2 linked regions of the Struthio camelus genome follow. The protein of the gene in region 1 interacts with the protein of each later gene in a pairwise test. Links are inferred from orthologs where the notes say so. Each region holds a gene or a part of one and is shown in the gene's direction. Other genes may lie near its edges.

Region 1 (10,366 bases):
ATCCCCACCTGGCCTCCCTACGAGCCCCAGCGTTCCCTGCCCTCCGTGTCACTCAAAACACCCCGTCATCCCAATTCACGCGAGGGACCGGGGAGAGGGTTGCAGGAATCACCGTCCCATAACTGGCTCACTCCACCTTACCGTTGGCTCTTCTGAAATTTCCCCTTCTCAAAGACTTCATCATGCTAGCCCCAACAGTCGGACAAATTTCCAGCCCTTTAGTTCAAAATATTAGGACGCAGCTCACATGGCCAGACCGGATATGAAGATGTCCAACTTTGGTAGATGCTTTCAGTGTCGTACTTTACTACTGGACTGAGAAGAGTGTCGTTAGTGGTACATCGGCAAACCCCCCAGCAGTCCGGAATGGTGAGCAGAAAGATTGACTGGTTACATATATCTTTGTAGCATCGTTATTGGCAATTTTACTGTCTCCTTCTAGAAACGGCCCTCTACGTTACTCATGTTGCTTTTATTCACAGTAAGTGTATGAACATACAAGTCACGTTTCTGCCTGAATTGCCTGGCTTTCTTCAAGCCTGATTCCTATATACCTCCAATTATCGGTTGTACAGTTTCATGCTGATGCACTTGCAGTGAAATACTACAATAACGTAATTTGTGATGTTGTCCAGTGTAAACTGGCAAGCGTAGTATAAGCAAACAAACAAAAAAGGCGATCATGCCTGTGTGACAGCAGTTAAGTGCTCATATTTGCTCATATAAAAACAGTTCTGAAACATGCTCCCCAATTTTATTTCTTCCCCTAGTGGAAGTTGTAATGACGGTGTCGATCACATTTTGCATGCTAAGATCACTTGGCTCTCTTGCTTTTTTGTCCTACATAAATCCAACAGGAAGATGCCTCTGCTTGCATAGCAATACCACGGCTTTCCAGGAGGTGTTGCTTTGAAACCATGCAAATATAGCAACGTAAAAATCACAAAAGGAAATGGATTTGGATTATTGAAAATAACTGAAAGTTCTCTTGTTCTGGCAGGGAGAACTTAAAATCTTTCATTTGAAATGATGATTTTTTCGTATGAGGCTCTCACCATCTGAGAATGGCTGTTATGCACAGAGTTATACAGAGGGAAATAAATGCTGAACGTCACCAGTACTATGAGGGGAGAGCTGCCGTCCAGAAAGGCAGCCCCTCCAGCTGGGCAGCTGCCTCGCACTCAGCAGGTCTCAGGTCCTGCATCTCGGGGCCCCAAACGGGGGCCTGTGACTCCATTCCCTGCCCTCGGAGCCTTCGGAGCTGCCAGGAGCCAGGACGCGTGCTTGTGGCAGGCCCAAGACATGCGGGACAGACGTTGCTTCCCACACCACTCCCGGGAGACCAGGGTGGTTTTGCTTTCAGTCAGCCCCAAGGAATCCCCCCTCAGCAATGGCACTCCAAAGAATGGAGTAAAGCCTCAAGGAGACAAGTTGTCCTGGCCTGAAAGCTGTGCCACTATGCTTTCTACACCTGCATAAATGCATTTGAAAAGCAAATGAGGGGCTTGCTTACGAGAAGGTGTACAATATTAGTGACTTACTGGATACGCAACTGTTCTCTACCTATAGCCATAGTTTTAAGTACATATTAATAAATTAAGTGACAAATACTGCATTTAAATGTGCCCAGGCTTTGGTCTAGAAGATGGAACAGGGCGCAAAGTTTCCCAGACCTTTTAAACTCTTTTTGCCGAAGGGAAGATGCCCAAAAGGCATGCCCAGTCAGAATGAAGAGTTTTTAAACAAGTCTTTATCCCATCTAGCGGCTTTTTTTGCTAAAACAACATTGTACAACTGAACAGCATTCTATGACTGAGGCTCTTCAGTGGGATTTTAAACTCTAAGATGGGATGATATTTTACAGCCCACAATATTGCTCTGTAGATGTAGTTACCACACTTACAGAGCTCTAGCCATGCCTTTCAAAGAATTACACATATACCAGCCCCAAGGCAATGAACTCCTCCAACTCACTGAGGATCTGGAAGGCTGGTGTTGGAGAGCGTTTAGAACAGGACCGTACACTTAGCGAAGGAGATCATGGAAGAGTGTGCGCAACCAAAGGAGTCTTTGAAAACTCTTCTATGATCAGCTGTTTACCAGTAACTGGTAAAGTAGAGCAGAGAACTGTGCACAGGATAAAAGATCATAGGGGTGAGGAGATCAATAGCCCTTTTTACACTGAAGAATTAAAAAAAGAAAGCCCCCAAAACTGAGAAAGTTGTTGCTGTAAAAAGGAAAGCAGAAAACAGCTATTGGCAAATTTAGCAGCCCCTCCGAGCCATTTCAACAGAAGGGTGTAATTCAAGCCTGATGTTTAGACCAGCTGCTGTCAAGAAAGAATGAGTTTTCAGAGCTCTTACCCTTCTCAGGAGTGTGACCGCAGGTTTTACTACAACACCTCAGCTCAGATTTTACGATGCAGCTAGTTGGTTCTTCCGTATTCCTAGGAAGCAGTTTTAGTGGAAATAAATACACTATTCTTATAGTTGGAACAACCTCACTGTAAATACTCCTTCTGAAATGCCTTTAGGGTCAGAAATGGACATGCTTGGTTCAACTAGTCTAATAGTCATTTCTCAAGATATACTGGTCCGTGTGAATAAGATTATAGCAAAATGAAGCTGCATCTTCTGAAGTACCTCTGATCAATGATCTGCTGGAAGAAAAATGATCCTGAGCCCCTTGTAAAACGTTTGTGTGTCTCATTCAGTACTTCTGGAGTAAGGCTGATGATCTCAGGAGGCTGTAGGGGACTTAGACTCGTGTTGCTCCTGCTTGGGAAGAAGCGGAGTTCTTTTTCTTCTATCCGCAGCACAAACTGCATATTCATTTAAATTTGTCCTTTGGTGAATACCCCTCATCTCCATTTCTAGTAATGGAGTATGGCTTTTATATTCTCCTCTTGAGAAGCTTTCCGCTTCTCCAGAATTGGAATGGGCACCGGGTATATTTTCTGAGCATTTTCCTCTACTACTTAATGAAAAGACGAGTAATCAAAGGGATGACAAAAGTTAACAACACTCAAAGGACTATCCACAAACTAGCTTGCCGTCTGCTCCTTCATGTTGAAAGAAAGCCCTTGGTTACTCGGGCTTTTACACAGGCTTAAGCTTCTTCCATAACCATAGTTTACTTCTGAAATGGCATCCACTGTCCCAGAGACAGAACAGTGTAGGGCTGGCCTTTAGCAAAGGATGAACAGATGCGAAATTTTAGACAGGCAGTTCTAGCTATATTTCTCTTCCTACAGCAGGATGTCTTTTCTTCTGGTAGGCCTGGGGCTGAGAAGGCTGCCACTCCATCCTCTGATTTTGTAGCCAGCAGGGTTTTTTAGTCAAACTGTCAGCCAATCTGGAGGGCAGAGCCCTGTTCCACACAGTAGGGCCTTGGAAGTAGGAGCAGTTGATACCTCTACAAGCTGTTGGTGAAGTTCTCAAAAACTTCGAGGAAGAAAGCTGACCATCCTGGTTACAATTTGTCAAGGCCAAGTGCACCAACAGGCTCTGCAACCTCTTCCCACCACCTATGGCTGCCTGTACTCAAGGTCAGCTCTGATACAGCACAGTTGGGTAGGCTTGGATCAGATTGCTGTGAAAACAGCTAGGCTGTGAGGAAAAAACAGTAAGTAGCCTTATCTGGGACCCCTACCCTTCGTTGGCTCGGGAGCTGTGTTTAAGCTCAGGTCCTTGCACAACTCAGCACAGAACAGGTTAAAAACTTCACAGAAAGCTCTGAAGACTTTAATCCCTCTGCCATGTGCGTAACCCTTAGTTGTGCATTCACCTTAAATGCCCTTCCATCTCTTATTACCAAGCCCTCTTCATCTTTAAGAAAAAAAGAAGACAAACACAAAGCTTATAACAGTAAGCCTTATTTACTGGAACGTTTTCCTCAATCTGTAAAATCAGTGAGCTGTTTTTTTCTTCATGAGAATTCTTTTCTTTTGTGTTTATTCATGCTCAGAAGGGTGCCCTGTTTTGTCACATCTATGGCAGTTACATTATTAAAAGACAACTCAAATCGACCTGTAAATTATAAACAGAAAGTGCAACTCACCCAAGCGATCTTTTGTTTTCTGCTAGTTAATGAAAAAACAACAGATCAGTTAGCCCCCACAACTCCAAGGCATAGTTTTATGCACTCCCAAAATACACTGCTTTTACCTGCAAATTGCAGAGTATTCTCTCTCCTGTAAAAAACAAAAACAGACTTTTAAATTTTCATGGCTTAACAAATTGCAGAAGAGTTCTAGCGGCTCCACCACAATAGCAATGAAATAAGGAAGGCAGCAGTTGCTGTGAGTGAAGGCTGTATGTTAGCACAGACCTTTCCATACTCCTAAATCTAGTGCTAAAACAATCAGTACCTGTTCCAGAGCTGTTGAGGCAGCTGCAGCCATTCTGCCCAGTGGGTGACTTTTAAAGGCCAAGAAATATAAAATTATATCAAGCAGAGAAGTTCAGTTTCCACAAGCTCATTAGGATAAACTACAGCCCACCCAATAGACTGAGCTGACACCTTGCAACAGCCAGGGACAGAGAGGCCTTGTTGCATACCCATCACTGGGAGAAGCACGTGTGGTTGCTCCGCAGAGCTCACCCTGTGATTCACAGAGATCTGTGGACTGGCGCTGACTTGGCTCTTACTCAGCTCTACAAGCAGATGTTTTTGTAGCATCCTCGTCGTGTCTTTTGTATTGGTTCCTGAACACCTGCATCAGGGATGGTCATGTAACAGCACAACAAGACACCAACAGACGCGTACGAAATGTAGTCGGTTCTTCAACATCCAGGAGTCTTTCCTCTGAAAAACCTTTTCTTTCCCTTAAATTACACGTTAGCCCAAAAGATATATTTATTAGCTTTTCTGTATCAACTAAAAATCATGTGGGTCTTAGTCTCTTGCAGAGTTTTTAACAGCACCAACCCTTGTAACAGAAGTTTTCTATTTAAAAGCAAAGCACCTGTTGCATATCATAAAGCAACAATAATGTGCAGCATGCTTTCCAAACATATGTCAGCACAGGTATGGCAAAGGCTCTGGTTTATGTCAGCATCAGTTGAAATCAAACAACTGTGGCTGTCCTAATTGAGTGTGCATCTACACTGTGACCCTGCCAGGCGTTTAGACTGTGTTTTAGCATGCTATAAAAAATTGCTCTTACAAGACCCTTCATCATTTTCTGGCAATTGCCCCACAACTCAGGCTCTACTAGTTACCTATGTAGTGAAAGTCTGCAGATAAATTATGTCTTAGCAGCCTTTTTTGGTGACTGTAGCACTTCACAGTCTTGGCTCTGGGTCAAAGCCAGCTCAGTTCCCTATGCTCAGTGTTTATGAATCCAACATATGTCTTCTGGGGGCTCTGAATCTCCACAGTAATATAAGAAGGGGCCTGATTGCCAGGACATGAGACCTGCTGAGAGCGGGGTGCCCATCAAGGTGGAGGCGCTGCTTATCTCAATGGTGGCTGCACCTTCATACTCCTGTGAATTACCCTTCTACCGGGACTCCGGATGTGTAGGGACCCATCAGTGCCTTGTCCTTGCCCAACGCAAGGAAAGATGTTCAACAATATGCTTCTCTCCTAAGAGCCCGGGGGGATTTCTCTGTGCTGTGCTTGTACATGGGGTGAAATACATCACTTTGTGTGTATGCACAGTGCTGCTTTGTGATGAAACGGGGATTTATAGTTCAGCAGCTCTGTGCTATGTGTTTTCATACCTCCCGTGCTGAGGGAGGGAAAGTGTGCTCCTTCCAGAAGGCATGTTTGTATCTCACTATTGCGCTGAGGGACTATATATAAAAATAATGTGCAAAGAGACTGAGCATCCATAACTTGTTAGAAACCACTTCTTAACACTAATCACTGCATCTCTTTAGTCTCTGCTTCAGCAGATTCAGCGATTTGTTCCTCCAGACAGGGGAACGTATAGCCATTTCTCATTGATCTCTACCTCGAGAAAGGTCCGTAATTCATTGCCCTTAGCCTGCAGCAGCATGTGGCTCTCTAGGGTTTCTAACGGCAGCAAAAGGAAGACCAAGGATAAGATAACAGGGGCCTGCTGCTGAGTGAGGTGGGCAAACTAGCAATGAAGGCAGAGATGAGACCAGTGTCTTTGTGCACGTGGCCGTCTGTGGGAGCGGGACACACCGCGGCGGGGCAGGCACCGCCGGGGCCGCTCCTCGCCGGGGCCGCTCCTCGCCGGGGCTGCTCCTTGCCGGGGCCCCTCGCTCCCGGGCAGGGTGCCCAGGGCCGCCCCGGGGGCCGGGCCAGGCCGGGCCGGGTGGAGCGGAGCAGAGCAGAGCAGCTCAGTGCTCGCCATGGCACAGTACGTGAGGGGTGCCGCCGCCGTGGCCGTCATCCGCCTCCGAAACCCGCCGGTCAACGCGCTGAGGTAATGGCGGGGCAGGGCCGGGCGGGCTCCCCAGCAGCTGCCGGGGCGGCCCGGGGTCCTCCCCACCTTCCTCCATACCTTCCTGCGCTTTCCTTCCTTTTAACCTCGCTTTCTTCCACCCTTTCCCTACTGACCTGTTGTACAGCCCTTTCTACCGAGCCCAGCGCAAGCTGGTCCTTAACTACATCTGGCCGGGGAGCTCGCTGAAGGTGTTTGGGTTCCTGAGCAAATGCTATCAGCCTGGCTGACTCCCTCAGAAAACTGGCAGCTGCTTTTGAGCTTAAACTTCTCTTTGCAAAAAACATGCCCTGTTTTTCCGTGGCTTCTCTTCTCTTTATTGTAATTTCTATTGATTTATGCAGGAGAGATGTCAGGCTTACCAATGTGTGCTTTCTCTGGTGTCCCCTGGAATCCTTTTTAAAACTTAACACATTTCTCATCACCTGGCAGTCTTTAAGTATGAAGGTGATGCTTCCAGCAAGAAATTACACACCATCATTAGTAGTTGAGCTATTTCATCCCAGAGATCCTTCAGAGCTCCTGGGTGAAAACACCTGGTGCTTTAAGCTTTGTTACTGTTCAGTTTATTTCCCTGTTCCACGTGCTCAGAAGTGCTTGCGCAGCGATTGCAGGCAGGCTGGTGTCTGCACTTCCAAGTGAACACAAGGGTTGAGGCAAAGGACTTTGTAAACAGGCAACGTGGCTGAGCAAGAGGAGCGAGAGCCCCTGGCTGACTGGGCTGCCGTTCAAGGTACGGCAGGAGGTACACGGCCAGAAGTGAGGATGGATTAGTCCACAGTGAGGGCTGTCACACTAGACAGGTAATTTGCTTTTTAAAAATAGTTAAGGAATTGACCTCTAAATGGTGCTCTTGGTCAAGAAAGTCCCCAAGCAATCTCAAATGCAAGCCAGAGAAAAACATAGTCCAACACAGGCCAGAGAAAAACAAACACAAATGTATAGTAGCATCTGAAAGTGTAGTTTCTCATGTGTTTGAAAAGGACATATATGTTATTCTTCTTTAAATAATTTGGTCTAAGGTTTGTGTATTTTTCAGTTCATTTAGCTCTAAGCAGCACACAGACCCTTTGCAAGCAGCTGTGGTTGAGCCGTGTTGTAACAGGCCCCACGGTGTATGCTGATGCTTTTGCAGGAGCCAGAAAATCCACTGAAGTTATGCTCAACTTCTGTACCAGCACACCTGTTAAAAAGAAGCTGAGAGAGACAAGTAAGAGCACGAACAGGAGATACCAGCTGCTGCCACAAGCCATAGCAAGCTGCATTGTTCTGCAATAGCTGCCAATGCTTGCTCTTCTTTTGCAACACGTCTGAAAGAGGAGTAAGATAATTTTCCTGTCCCCTGATAATTATCATGAGAAAACAAACTTGGAGTAACTTAATGAGATTAGATGAACTAGACTTGTAAGGCTCCCAGAAGTGCCAGGTGCAAAGTGTCCCTTGGACCAGCTTGTGCCTAAAAGCTAGGAAAACTAGCTTGACTAGGCTAGGAAAACTTCCAAGCTGTTCCCACAGTGAACTTTTCATCCTTACCATGAAAAGTTCAAACTACAGAACTAAACATAAGCGCTCAGGCATCCTTAACTGTCTCTTTTGAGCAGTCTGTGATAAAACCTAAAGTGCTCTCTTTGCCTTCGAGCACCAGCAGCATGCATCTGCATAACAGCCTCTTAAATACATCTCCCTGCCTCTGTTTCCATTTGCCAAGCTCTTCCTCCTTCCGCCTGCACAGGGCACAGCTCCATGACACTGCAGGCCAAAGTGGGTATGGTCTTGGTCCTGCTCTTTTCCCCTGCCACAGGAGGGAGAAGCTACTTTAGAGCCATTTAAAAGGCCGTTTCCAACGAATGCTGCATCATCACTGCCACCATAGCTATTTTGTGCTGCCCGCACTCTTCTGTTGGCCGACAGCCCCACGGCAAGAGGGCCCTGACAGGCCTGTGTATTTTTCCAGAGTAGACTCGTTCCCTAATGTTGAGCTCCATAGCACCATAACGCAACTTAAGCTGGGGCTGCATCATCCTGGCCATGGTTTCTCGCAGCCTCCGCTGTGCTAGCAGGGACTACGTAGTGAGCCAGTTCGGGGAGATAATGTGCCTAAACACTAGCCTGCTTATTTGCTTTTGCCTTTCCCTCAGTCCAGCTCCGTGTGTCAGCACCCTGTGCTGTTGCACGCATAGCAGTGCAGGCGTGAGGGACAGAGTGGGAAAGGACTAGAAGCTGCAGAGCGTGAATTTAGATCAGGTTAAGCAGCTATGAGACCTAAGCTTGAGACATGCCTCTGGTCTTTGATTGCACCTAAGGGGATAGGACAGAGGGACTTGGCTTGTCCTGGTTGTCTTGTATCAAGAGGTTCCAGCTAACAGCTCCACTGGTCGAGACAGCTAATGCTGGCTGGAATGTGGTGGAGGTACTTCTACCTGAGAGCAAGTAGCTTCAGAAAGAAAACTCAGTTTGCATGGGCTCTTACTTTATTTCTTAATTTATTAAGAAGACCCACTGAATTTGCAAGGAGCAAGCGTGGAGGACACACTGAGCTCAGCCTTAGCTGGGTTTGCATCATTTTGTTTTCTCTTATGTTAGGACCTGTTTCAGTAGGCGTCAGTATTTATCACATACTTGCAGCCAGGCAGCTTTTAGCTGAGACCTTACTGTAGCTAGGAAAGGGAGAGGGCACTTTGTGAGCCACGTCTCCTCCTCCTGCTTCTGTATATGTTGTATACGTTGCTATAGTGGAGTAGGTTTGTGATTGCTATCTGAAATGTTTGCCACTGTAGGTGATAGCAGGCAGTGAAAGGTTCAGGTTGCAACCATGTCCCACCATCCCGACAATTTAATTTCATAACAGGCCCAGATGCTTTTTAAAAGGCTGGTGCGTTTTTCCCACTCTCCTCTGCATCAGCCTCACCTCTCTCTCCCTATGGTACGTGGTGCTCAGTGCTGTCATCCAAGCAAGCGTTCACACCTTCGCATGCAGCCATTAGCACTTTAGAGGCCACTGGTGGGTAGGAATTTGCTCTTTGCCGTCTGACGCCATCTGCGGCCACGTAGGTACCTCACAGACAGCCCTTTCCCAAGCAATGTGTGCTCACTTGTGAGTGCTGTAGCAAATCACCCTCATTTTTCTTCCGTCCTCTCTGCTCCTCTTTAGCTCTGCCTTTGCTCCCCTCCAGAGACTCCCCTTGCCTCCATGGCATGTGCCAAACTTTTTTTTTTTTCCTGAATTTGCAGAGGTTTCATTTTCAGAGATCTGCAGTCCTAAAGCAGTCCTATGAGACCATGGAGCAGAGGGAAGGGATGAGACATCCCTCCAGCCAAAAGGCTGGGAGGGGGATTAAGGTCAAGGTTTACAAAATTGTAGAGAAGGTAGCTAAGTTAAAGGCATAACTGTTATTTACCAAATCCTGTGGTAGTTGATTTGATTAAACTGGTAGGAGATTGGTTTAAAACAGATAATGTATTTCTGTACAGACAGTACAGAGCTTGATGCCACAGGAGCCTGTGGAGGCAGATGGGATCGGCAGATCAGAAAGGGATTAGACAAATTTGTGGACAGCAGGTCCATCCATGGATGCTAAAAAGACTGGATATGATGTACACAGTAACATCCCTAATACAGGGATTGCAGCTGTTGGGGGAATACCAGGGGAAGGGACCAGATTTGCACGTTCTCCATAAATGGCATTTTCTGTTAGAGACAGTGTATTGGAGTCTGACTTCTTCAAAGGTGGCTGAGCTTATTTTCAGGATTCCCTTAAACTGCTTTTTTTAAAAGCAAAGGATGTTCACATTCCCCAATCCTCACTAAAATCCAAAATTGTTATGGTGAATGATAAGACCGTCTTACAAATCCAGCACACTGTCATTGCAATAAGTAGAGTTTTATTCAAAATGGAAATAACCTGGTACGGTCACACGCAGGAATATTCTTTTGTCCTGGGGGGTGCA
Region 2 (10,696 bases), on another chromosome or scaffold:
AGCAATTTCTTTGCTCATTTCTGCAGCAAAGTTCTGTCCTCCTCCGATGAAAGCATGGTTGTCTCAGATTCATATATACTCTTAAACAGAATACATTATCTTCGCTTTGAACGCTTTCCAGTTAGAAAACAGACCATGAAGGTCACATTTGTCAGCTAAGGTATCCTCATTGTTCTGTGTATACCTTTGCAAACCTCAGCCACAAGTTAACCTTGTAATTCTAATTGATTTCTTCGATAGTTTGTCTCGTTTCCCACCTGTGGGGCAAAAATTGCATGTCTAATTTTCACAGAGAAGATAAGTTCCACGGAAGTAACTTTGCGATTGAACACAACTTCCAATAATTCAGGCAACTCCTGAGAAGGAACGCTCATCATAGGGACAGTTGACAACTGCATTTGGCAGTGGTCTTCAAGGCTCTGTGGACTGGAGGTACAATTCTCTCCTTTCTCTCTCTTTATACCAAAGTGAAAAATAGAAATGTGCAAATGATTTTTTAGCTACATTGAAGAGAAAAGGCGAACATGCCATTTTGTTTTGTGCCTTTATTTTCAAGGGAAAAAAAAATTTCAAAAAACAACCCTAGTAGTAATTTTGTCATACATGGCACGCAGAAGACCACTAGATGTACAGTATGAGGTTGAATTGGTACTGTGTTTATCTGCAGCTTTTTGCTGAGGCCAGTTTCTTGCTAAATGAACCCTACCTTCTTAATTTTTCATCTTGAATGAGTTTTAAGTAGCATTATTGAGAAAATGCTTAAACTCACAATGAGCTCTCCATACGGGTACCATTTCAGACTATTTTTTACAATTTAGTACATGAGAACATAGCCTACAACCTTTAGCTGGGCCTCCAGAGTCTCTGCATAGAGAATGGTAGGAATTGATTAAATTTGCCTCAGATAACTCCCAAGGGCGTATTTGAAATATGTTTACATGGGAGAATAATAAAAGCCAGTTGACTAATGATCTTGCTATTCTATATTTAGCAAGGAATGAATCTGGCAAAAAGACCCAACCAGATAAACAACTTAGTAAAGAGAAAACTGGGGATACGTTGTCCAGGAAGGAAGGAAGGGAAGAAGGAAAATTTGGTATCAAAAGTAAGATGGATACATGTTTCTCTCTATGAAGAAGGAATGTCAAAGTGCTCACTGCATAAATCTGATACCTTTGTTCACACAGAATTAATCTGTACTAATCACAGAATAAAAGGAGCGAAATTGAACCATCTCTAAAAATCTTTATGAGCTAGACCCACAGAAAAACTTACAGATTTGTACATACTTAGGCTCTTTGTGGAACCAAAATGCAGATGGGCCCACTGCCAGAGCGCATCCCAGACCTTTGTGCTAGTAGGGCTTTGTGCTAGACCAGGGCTCCCTGTGCCATGGTTCAACAGTTCATCTAATCTAAGATAAATCTGCACTGTCGCTGAAAGGGATGAGCCGTCTCCAGTTGCGCACCAGCACAAGTGTTCAGTAAGTGGCACTGAAACCTGTACCAGGTTCTTGAAAAGGAATCTCTTTTGTGGGATAGTTTTCAGCTAGATTTATTCCTTGATTTGGTGCACCACGCAGACACACAAGCACGAGTGCCTGGGGAAGAAAGAGAGTGTGTGGCCAAGGACAGAGAGTGCAAGGGCGTGGGAAAACGTTCTCTCTGGAGGACCTGTGTTGACTTATGCTTACATGGCACTAAGTAAAGCCCGTGTGAGTGAACAGGGAGCCACATAAGCCAAAAGGAAATGGTAGGAATTAGGTACATTCGGACACTTATGTCTTTCAAGGACCAGCTATCCCCAGAAAAAAACGGGAGTTAGATATCAAGAGTAAACCCTATCTCATAAAGCATGAATAGAAAAAGAGTCTTTTTACCGAACACCTCAGCAATTAATGAACTCGCCCACAATATGGAAGTCCCTCTCCTTCCTGAGGTGATTTGAACAAACATCCCATCTCCCAGTCTGTCAAGCTCATTCTTCTCCTTAGCATGCCACAATGAACAGATCCTATGGGTTAACAACTGGTTGCACAGATAGTGTCGGCAACCGGGTTTCATTTTCTATGACCATGGGACCCTCCTCAAGGATTGACCACTGTTGGGTAGAGCTAGGATCCACCTGACAAAATGGGTAAAAGTATCTTTGCCAACAGGTGGGCCAACCTGTGGAGGACTGATCTCTAAGAGAAATGAGCACCCATGGCTTTCATTGTTTTCAGAGGGATCTGGGCAATACCGTGCATCTTTGAAAATCAGAGTCCCAAGATGTGACAGCAGTTGCTTACTTTGGCTCAGTCCCCAGATTCAGATACGACGAGCTGAAATGGTCCCTAATAAGGAGATGTGAATCTATTTAACATAGCAAATTCACATGAACTGCTATATAAATTTAGATCCTGAGAGAGGCTAAGTCATTATTTTAATGATCAAACCATATTGTCTCAAGAAATTTTACAATAAACTCTTCTTTTGAATTTCCAACATGGCAGCTTTACTTCTGTCTTTATTTTCACTGGAACAGCTATGGTATTACTCAGAACAAAATAAAGCTCTATTTATTACAGTTCAGAAACTTATATACATTAAAGTGCACTAGTGTTGACAGTACATGTTAGCAGTATGACGTAAATATATTACAGAATTATTTTAACAATCTGCATATCCAAACTAAACCTTAGAAATTCAATAAGCTCAGAATTAAATGGTCCTAACTGGAAGACTATTACACATTGATGAGCTAGTGAGTCACCTAACAGTTAACCTGAGCAGGCACCAGCATGAGCTGTGCTGTGCTGTGCTGTGCTATGCTTCACGAATAGCTTGGCCTTGAAGCCCGCTACACTTCAGGCTGCACATATCCTTTGGCTGCAGGATAAACTTTGCTGGCTAATCATAATGGAGGAGCATGTAGCAGCTCCCACTTGGTACTGATGATTACAGCACCTTACGTCCTTGTCTTTATCTTAAAGTGAAGCAGTGAGTTTTCACTTGAACACCCTTTTGTTTGATAGTGGAAATGATGAATAGAATTATTTTCTTCTAAGAAAATCCTGTAAGAGCACTAAAGACTAAAATGTCAGTGAGCCACTTCACAGATGGGATCCCCACTACATGCCACCCCATGCCCTGCCCTGACTAGAGATCTGCCTGATGCTGTGCAACTCAGGGTTCCCAGCATATGAAGGGATGCAAGATTATCTATCCTCTTCTTCCTTCTTTTGTTAGCTCCAATCAATGGCATTTTAAGCAACACTTTACAGAATCTGAGTGCCTTTCTAACTGGGATCATAATGAACATTAGCTTCAGTGCCTTGCACCAGTGCACAAAGGTGCACTCAAAAAATCTCTATATGTTAAGGGCTGCAAATGCTCAGTAAGATAAGCAAATAAGTAAGATGATAGTAAATAAGATAAGTAAATAAGGCTGCGGTCTTAACCTTTTTCTGAAGTCATACCACATAGTAATTGTACTAATATATGAGTATGAGATTTAAAGATTGCAACTGAAATTAAATTGAATTTTCTTTTTTCTTCCAAGGTATTGCCCAAAAGTCTGCTAAAAGACGTTTGGTTTGCTTTCCCCAAATTTTCTGATTCTTCCTGCAGAGCCTGCCCTCCTACTTGGAAGCGCACGTCATATAGATAATTCTACAATTAATGTAACTGTTAATTAGAAATTTGTTTGTGGTATAATTACGACAACACAGCAACAGAACAGAGCAAAAAATTTCAGAGTTAGTAATAAATGTGTTTCAAAATTATAACATACAGATTGTTTATTAAGTGGGATATGAAACATTTTGAGAATTTGATGTCTCAAAATATACTAGCAATAGGATATATTAGACTTTTGTTGATTTAATGTGCTGCCAGAAATACAAACATCTCCCATTACAACATATGCATTAGCAATGATATGCAGAAGCAAAACTAAACTCAAATGAGCAATAACTTAGATACTGCATGAATGAATAATGGCCTTGTCAGAACAATTGTTTCCCTTAAGTATGATCAGTTAAGGTTTTATGTAATTCTAAAAAAATTGAATATGGCTGTCAGACCCCAGCAGGAGTCTAGGAAACAGTCAAGCACATCAGAGCTAGACTTCTAAATGTAAAATTTTTACTTGTGATTGAAAAACAAAGAGGGAAGCAGTAAAATAACTAGTAAAATAAGTACAGTACAGATTTGACTCTCTTTTTTTAGCTATGTATTTTTAACTGTCTGCTCATCAGGTTTTCTGTGGTACTGTAATTGCATATAAGTGCTTCAGACCTCTAAAACCATTGATGGGTTGGAGCCGTTGCCAATGGTAGCCAAAAAATGAGGAAAATGCATAATGTACCACTATCCACTAGCAAAAAACCATTTCTATTAAGAAGGAACAAGTGCCAGACTTAGTTGAAGAAAAATTCATAATGTTCGACATACATTCAGTAATAAAGAAATTTCATCAGACCCAGGAAACAAAAAAGCATTTTACAAACGGAAATATTCTCAAAAGCCAAAATCCCCTTTGCCTTGCAGACAGCGATGAAGAGATTAATGTATCCAAACAAATTTATTTTGCGCAATAAAGCTCTCTGAACAGAAACTTGCCTGAGGAAAGCGCATTGATACTGAAATAACAAGAATGGATGGCACCTTTACTGCCAATTTATATGGCTAAAGCCGGGAGTCAGGCCCTATGAACAAGATTGCTTTTTTTAAGTGCTGTATTTGGTTTCTGAGATTCTACAGTTCATTCAGTTTTTGCTGGCAAGCTTTTCTGCAATCAGGAAAGCGGGACACCGACTTTAAAACCTCTCCTAAAGCTAAGATTTATGACTTATCTCGCCAAACATTTCATTTGGAGCTGTCAATAGCCTGCAGCTAGTCTTGTTTCCCTTAGAACTAAGTAGTTGCACAGGCATTAAATCGCAGCACGCTGTAAATACCGTTTATCCCTCCCACAGTAACGGAGGTAACAGTGCCCCGGGGGGGGGCAGCTCAACCGCATAACGTGTTTTTCGCGTACAAATCAATCAGCAGAAGAGGCAACGTTTGAATATTTATAAGTTTTCATGTTGTTTTTGTTCAGCGGGTGACGGGTACCCTTCGTGCGCCACTACTGGAGTTTCCTCTCAGCGCTGCCTGAGGGATTCCCCCCACGCCGCCCGCCCGCCGCCGCCGGCCCGAGGCTGGGACGGAAAACGGCGCCCGCCCGCGGCGGAGCCGTTTTCCCTGCTTAGGCGAGGCCCGCCCGCTTCGGGAGCAGGGGATTGAGGGCGGCCCAATCAGAGCTGGAGCCCGGCCTGCTCACACGGGAAGATGGCCGTAACCCCCCACCCCGGCCACGGCCGGTGTCCCCGCAGCTCTGCCAGCCATCCGCCACCCGCCTTTGCGCTCCGCTCCGCTCCGCTCCGCTCCCCTCCCCTCCCCACCCCACCCCCGCGTCTCAGGAAGGCAGGGAGGGCGCTGGTCACTTTAAGGGCGCGGCCCCCCCGTTCCTCTCCCGCCTCCCCCGCTCTTCTCCCCCCCTCCCCAGAAGTTCCAGCGCGTGGAGAATTTCCCTTTTCTGATTGGCTGCAGCGCCGCGGGCGGGCGCCAGGACGTTGCGTGGCCTTATTGGCTGGTTTAGGCCCGGTGCGCTCGCGTTCCGGGTCGCGCCAGGGTGCGCCCCTGGGGAGGGGGCGCGCGCATGCGCCCTGGCCTCCCCGCGCCCACTGCCCCCGCCCGCCGGCTGCGCTGTGCTCTCGCGCTGCCTGGCGGCGCGCGGCCCCCGTTTCCCTTTCCCATCATGGCGGCCGCCGTGGAGGAGCCGTTCCCTTTCCACGGCCTCCTGCCCAAGAAGGAGACCGGCGCCGCCGCTTTCCTCGCCCGCTACCCCGACTTCGACGGGCGGGGGGTGCTGTTGGCGGTGCTGGACACCGGCGTGGACCCCGGCGCCCCGGGCATGCAGGTAACGGGCGGTCGCGTGCGGCGGGAGGAGCCGCTTCAGGGCGGCGGCCCTGAGTCACCGCCGACAGGCAGCGGCGGCGCCGCGCCGGGACAGGGTGGCGGGCGGCCGTTGGCTGCGAGCGGGGAGCACGGAGCGGCCGGCCCGGCGGCTGCCGGAGCCCTGGAAGCCGCCGGGGGAGGGGGGGCGGGAGGAAGGAGGTCCCCGCGGAGGGGTCGTGCCGGGACGAGGCGTCTGGCGCCCCCACGGCGGCCGTGAGAGGCTTGCGGTTGTTGTTGTTGTTGTTTTCCTTAGGATTCCCGCTAAGCATTCATGCCCGTGCTGCATTAGTGTGAGCTCCGCGGAGGTCGGCTGTGGGAGAGCGGAGAAAATCCTGTAGATCTGTGTGTTTCCCTTCGGTTATTTGTAGGAGGTTTCTTCTTTTGAGCCTTCCACAGATGCCTTAGGGCACTTAATCCCTTTGGCTGTCTCCTTTTTCGCAGAACCTACTCGAAAAGAGTGCTTCGTATTTTTCTTAAACGTTAGCGTTATTTCAGTAGTAGCAAGGGAGTTCAAACAGCCACTTAAATGTTTTGTATGAAAAATGTGTTTTAGCAAATTTTGCATACCTTTGTTGTCAATGTATTTTTCTTGTATTGCAATCAAATTTTTTATCAGATTTGTATATGCTGACCTTTTTTTACATCTGCTAGCTTTGTCTATAGCTCAGAGTACACCCCATTTGTCATTACAATCTTGATCTCAGGTTTTGTAAAATTCTGTGTAGGTGATTTTTAATTTGGACGTTTCACAGTTTTTCCTTGATTCTTTCAGTATTTGCTTTTTAACATCTTCTTAATTATGCAGTGTATATATGGCCTTTTTTGTTGCTCCTACTTCCAACTTCTCTTCAGCATGTTTTCTGTCAGGATTCGGAGAGGGTTGTATGCAGCTCCCATGGGAACTGCATCCTTTATATAAGCAGGGATTGTGGTGGTTTCTGCTCTTTATTTGGCACTGGTGCAGATTTTACTCTTCAGTGACCTAGCTCAGAGGCCTAACTTTGATCTTTAAGTTCAGCTTTCTGAACTGACTCCTTGTGGGGTTCAGGTAAGTGTTTCACATGTGAAAGCAAAAAATCTGAATCTCTAGGGGTTGCGTATGTGAGGAACAAAGAAAGCATGAGTTTGCACGGTTGAGACTAAGACATGCTATAAAATATTTTAATTATATAGTAATTTCTTTTTTTAAAATTTTGGGGTGAAAACATTCTTTACATCTATAATAAATTCATTACTTAGAAAAAAATCAAATCATACAAAGAAAATTAATATCACTTAATTCTGCCCTCCCTTCCCCCCCGCCCCCAAGATAAAGGACTTCAAGGGAGAGGGGAAGACAAAAAAACAGTTGAACCGTAAGTTTCATTGTACCATTACTACTGGTGGGCAGTGTGCCAAACAATTCATGTCAGCACTGAAAGCTCTATCAGTTACTTTACGCTAAATGACTGTGAATCGGACTGGATCGCTGCCATTAGGAATTGAACCTTAGACCTTTGCACTTGAAACTCAAGTTTCTTGTGTCTGACCTGAAAGACTGATTTGTTGATTCTGATTGCACAGACATGTACGCATGTGGACCTGCTATTCATATAGAGGGTGACGATCTGTACGGTGTAGGAGTTTCACATAAAATTTCTGGCTAGGAAGGAACTTTTAAAGCTACTGAAATTCACTACAGCATAAATCTATGTTCTGGCCACCTGTTGCAGTATGACTCACCAGTGTCAAAGAGGTTGCCTTGGGTTGCAATTCCATTTTTATTTTCTTGCACTTTGATCGCTGAGCAATTTATTACTTTTTTTTTTTAGAGGTATATTGAAAAATGCCCAATTCTGATAATCTCAGGTTTAGCATGCATATAATTTATTATTGGTGGAATCCTCTTTTTGGCGTAACTTCTGTTCAAGGTTACCTGTTAACTTCTCTGTGAGTGAAGACTGGCATCTGAAGGGATTAATTACAGATGATAGAAAATTCTATGGTATAAATGCCTGTGCATGGAGTTTCCCAAGTAAATTTTCACTACTACATAGCTGCTGTTCTTCTAAATGAACGTGAATTTCTGTGAGCAGAGTTAACCGTGTTGATTTCTGCAGTGAAAACTGTTCCATAGCAGGTTTCCTCAAAGCAGTATTTGTTACCTTCTGGAAAACAGAAATTTGTCTCCTGTTTATACTTGTTGCAGTATCTTTTCTTACAGCTATTTAAATTTGGATTTTTCTAAACAATGAAAATTCAAAACCTTGGAGGTATTTGTCTGTATTTGTTGAACTCCAATGTAGGCTTGACCATTGTCTTGTCTTTTTTGGCAGCAACAGAGTGACTTTTATGAAATAACTTAATTATTATCAATTTCTGTGGCTGAACTCACACTTCCAGAACATGATTTGAGCAAACCTATCTGCCATGTGTGTTAGCTGCGAGATCAGCGTTAATGGTAGAGCATAAAGGCAAGAATACCAAGCACTGAAATGCTAGAAAACAGCAAAATTTGCAGCTATTCTGAACACGAATGCTTTTTATTATTATTTTTTTTTTTTTACTTTCAGTATATTGGTGTATAGCAGGTGCTGAGAAGGTGATTTTTTTAATCAACAATCTTTAATATAAAGCTGTGAAAATAATTGCTTACAGCCAATTCATGTTGCACTTCAAGCATCTACTACTTTTTATGGAATGTAGTATGTTTGCTGAGTAAACTGATATGAAATAATAACATGCTTCATCCAGAAGGGATTACGAGAACATAGTAACATTGAATATTTTTTTCTAAATGTGTCAAGACAGTCTTATACTTTTGATAATTGTGCAGAAGGTGCTTCTGTGGAAGGGACTTTGTGTGTCGTTAGTTGTTTTTTGACACCATTAACTGTCCTTTCTCTCTAGGACGTTTTTAGTATGGTCCTTCAGGATTTTACTAGCTGTCATATGTGTTCCATGACATAGCTGTAGCTTTATACTTTATACAGTAGTTTTATTTAGCAGTGCAGATTACTGCTATAGAATAATCTTAAATTTAGGTAACACATTTATTGTTTGGTGCATTTCTTATAGTGCAATTTGTTTTGGTAAACAATTTTTTTCTTAAATTCTTCAAAAATTATATGATATGTCATTCTGCAAGATTGTGCGATATTTTCCTTCTCTTCTGAAGTAGTCTTATACCACTCTGATTTTTCCATTCTTACCCTTCAAAACACTATTATTATCTCTGTCTGTGATTGGGTAGATATGGACTTCTTCCCAGTAGGCCAATGACTGCTGTCAAGACTGTTAGGGCTAGTTTTCATTTAATTTGAGGAGATTTTAAAATTTTGCTCTTCCCAGACAGATACCTTTCCTGTCTCTTCACCCTCCTAAAAGTACTCTTTACACATAGCTCCTAACACTTTGAATTGTTTAAAATATGAAGCAGAATCCTCGTAACAGAAAAATAAGATGACGATATTTTGTGTAACTTTTAGGATTAAACTCAGTTAAGAGGCTCAAACATGTAAGCGCATGTAGTTCAGCAGCTTTCATCTTTCTGGAATTGTGGCATCATTACTGTAAAATTTGGCCAGAGCAGTAGGATGAAAGCAATGTTGTAAATGTTTTGAAAGAAAATTGTAATTTTGCAGACTTAGGGAAAACTTACTGGAAGGTTTGGTTCTAAATATGAGCTTCTGAGCATTATTAATAAATTTTTTTTTTTACTTGTTTCTCTTGTAAGACACTTTTAGAAATGAGTTAATAGTTTATTTAAGGTGAGGAAGATGCACAAGTTCATTAAAAATTTAACTAATTTCAAAGAGCTTTTTATGCCCCTCAGTTAAAGGTAGGGTACTTAAAAAAAAAAAAAAAAAAAAAAATCAACTTACTTTCTTTTATTCACAAAAATGAAAATTTTCCTGGTCTGTATGTTGAAGAATAATTGACTGCATCTTCAAGTATTCTGCTCATATTTTCAGATTACAACTGATGGGAAACCCAAAATAATTGATATAATTGATACAACAGGCAGTGGTGATGTAACTACATGTACTGTAGTAGAACCTAAAGATGGAGAAATTATCGGTCTTTCTGGAAGAACTTTAAAGGTGAGATTTCATATAGTGGCTACTGGGCATCTTTCTTCTCTCTAACAACAGATTTAGCACTAATTTTTGTTCTTGCAGGTTTTTTTTCCTTTTAATGAGTCCCTATCAAACCTAATTCAGCATTTGTTCATCTTCATCCAGATTGCTCTGTTTAATATGAAATTTTTTTAGTTGTCATGTGTCTTTATATAGCAAATTCTCTGGACTGGAGTTGAAGTGCAGGTAGCTACAGAGTTTTATTGGGGACTCAGTAATCATTTAGTATGCTGCTCTTTTATTCAAATCAGTTTCTGATACAGTTTTGAAAGTTGGCTGAAGAAAGCATGCTAACGTGTTTTAAAAAGATCTAAAGAGACTTACTGTTCTGCTTTGAAATATGCTAGTGTATTTCACATTTGTGTGAATTACAGGAGGAGTCATCCTGTTAAACTCATGGAAAACAGTTGTGGTGACTGAAGAATCTGGGAGGACTTACTTACAGGCGCAGTGTACTCTCACTGTTAACAAAACAGGCATAGGATTTTTAGAAAGGATGTGATGACATCAGCTATGTTGGACTGCTGATATTACTGCCATGTTCTCATTTGGGTGTTTAGGTTGATAAAACGTTAGGAGCACATCAAGTCTTTG

The links. The genes of interacting proteins can lie anywhere in the genome.
Region 2: the proteins of EHHADH (region 1) and TPP2 interact in binary tests that used the Homo sapiens proteins (3 or more experiments, as listed by UniProt). The two-hybrid records come from large-scale screens. The link is inferred for Struthio camelus from reciprocal best matches to the Homo sapiens genes EHHADH and TPP2.

Annotation. Positions count from the first base shown.
Region 1 is NC_090950.1:5,241,706-5,252,071, forward strand, and holds the start of EHHADH (peroxisomal bifunctional enzyme), read left to right. Parts: upstream 1-6,275; 5' UTR 6,276-6,326; coding exon 6,327-6,400; intron 6,401-10,366. UniProt on the Homo sapiens protein: Peroxisomal trifunctional enzyme possessing 2-enoyl-CoA hydratase, 3-hydroxyacyl-CoA dehydrogenase, and delta 3, delta 2-enoyl-CoA isomerase activities. Catalyzes two of the four reactions of the long chain fatty acids peroxisomal beta-oxidation pathway.
Region 2 is NC_090942.1:162,705,782-162,716,477, reverse strand, and holds the start of TPP2 (tripeptidyl-peptidase 2), read left to right. Parts: upstream 1-5,691; 5' UTR 5,692-5,784; coding exon 5,785-5,946; intron 5,947-9,937; coding exon 9,938-10,066; intron 10,067-10,696. UniProt on the Homo sapiens protein: Cytosolic tripeptidyl-peptidase that releases N-terminal tripeptides from polypeptides and is a component of the proteolytic cascade acting downstream of the 26S proteasome in the ubiquitin-proteasome pathway.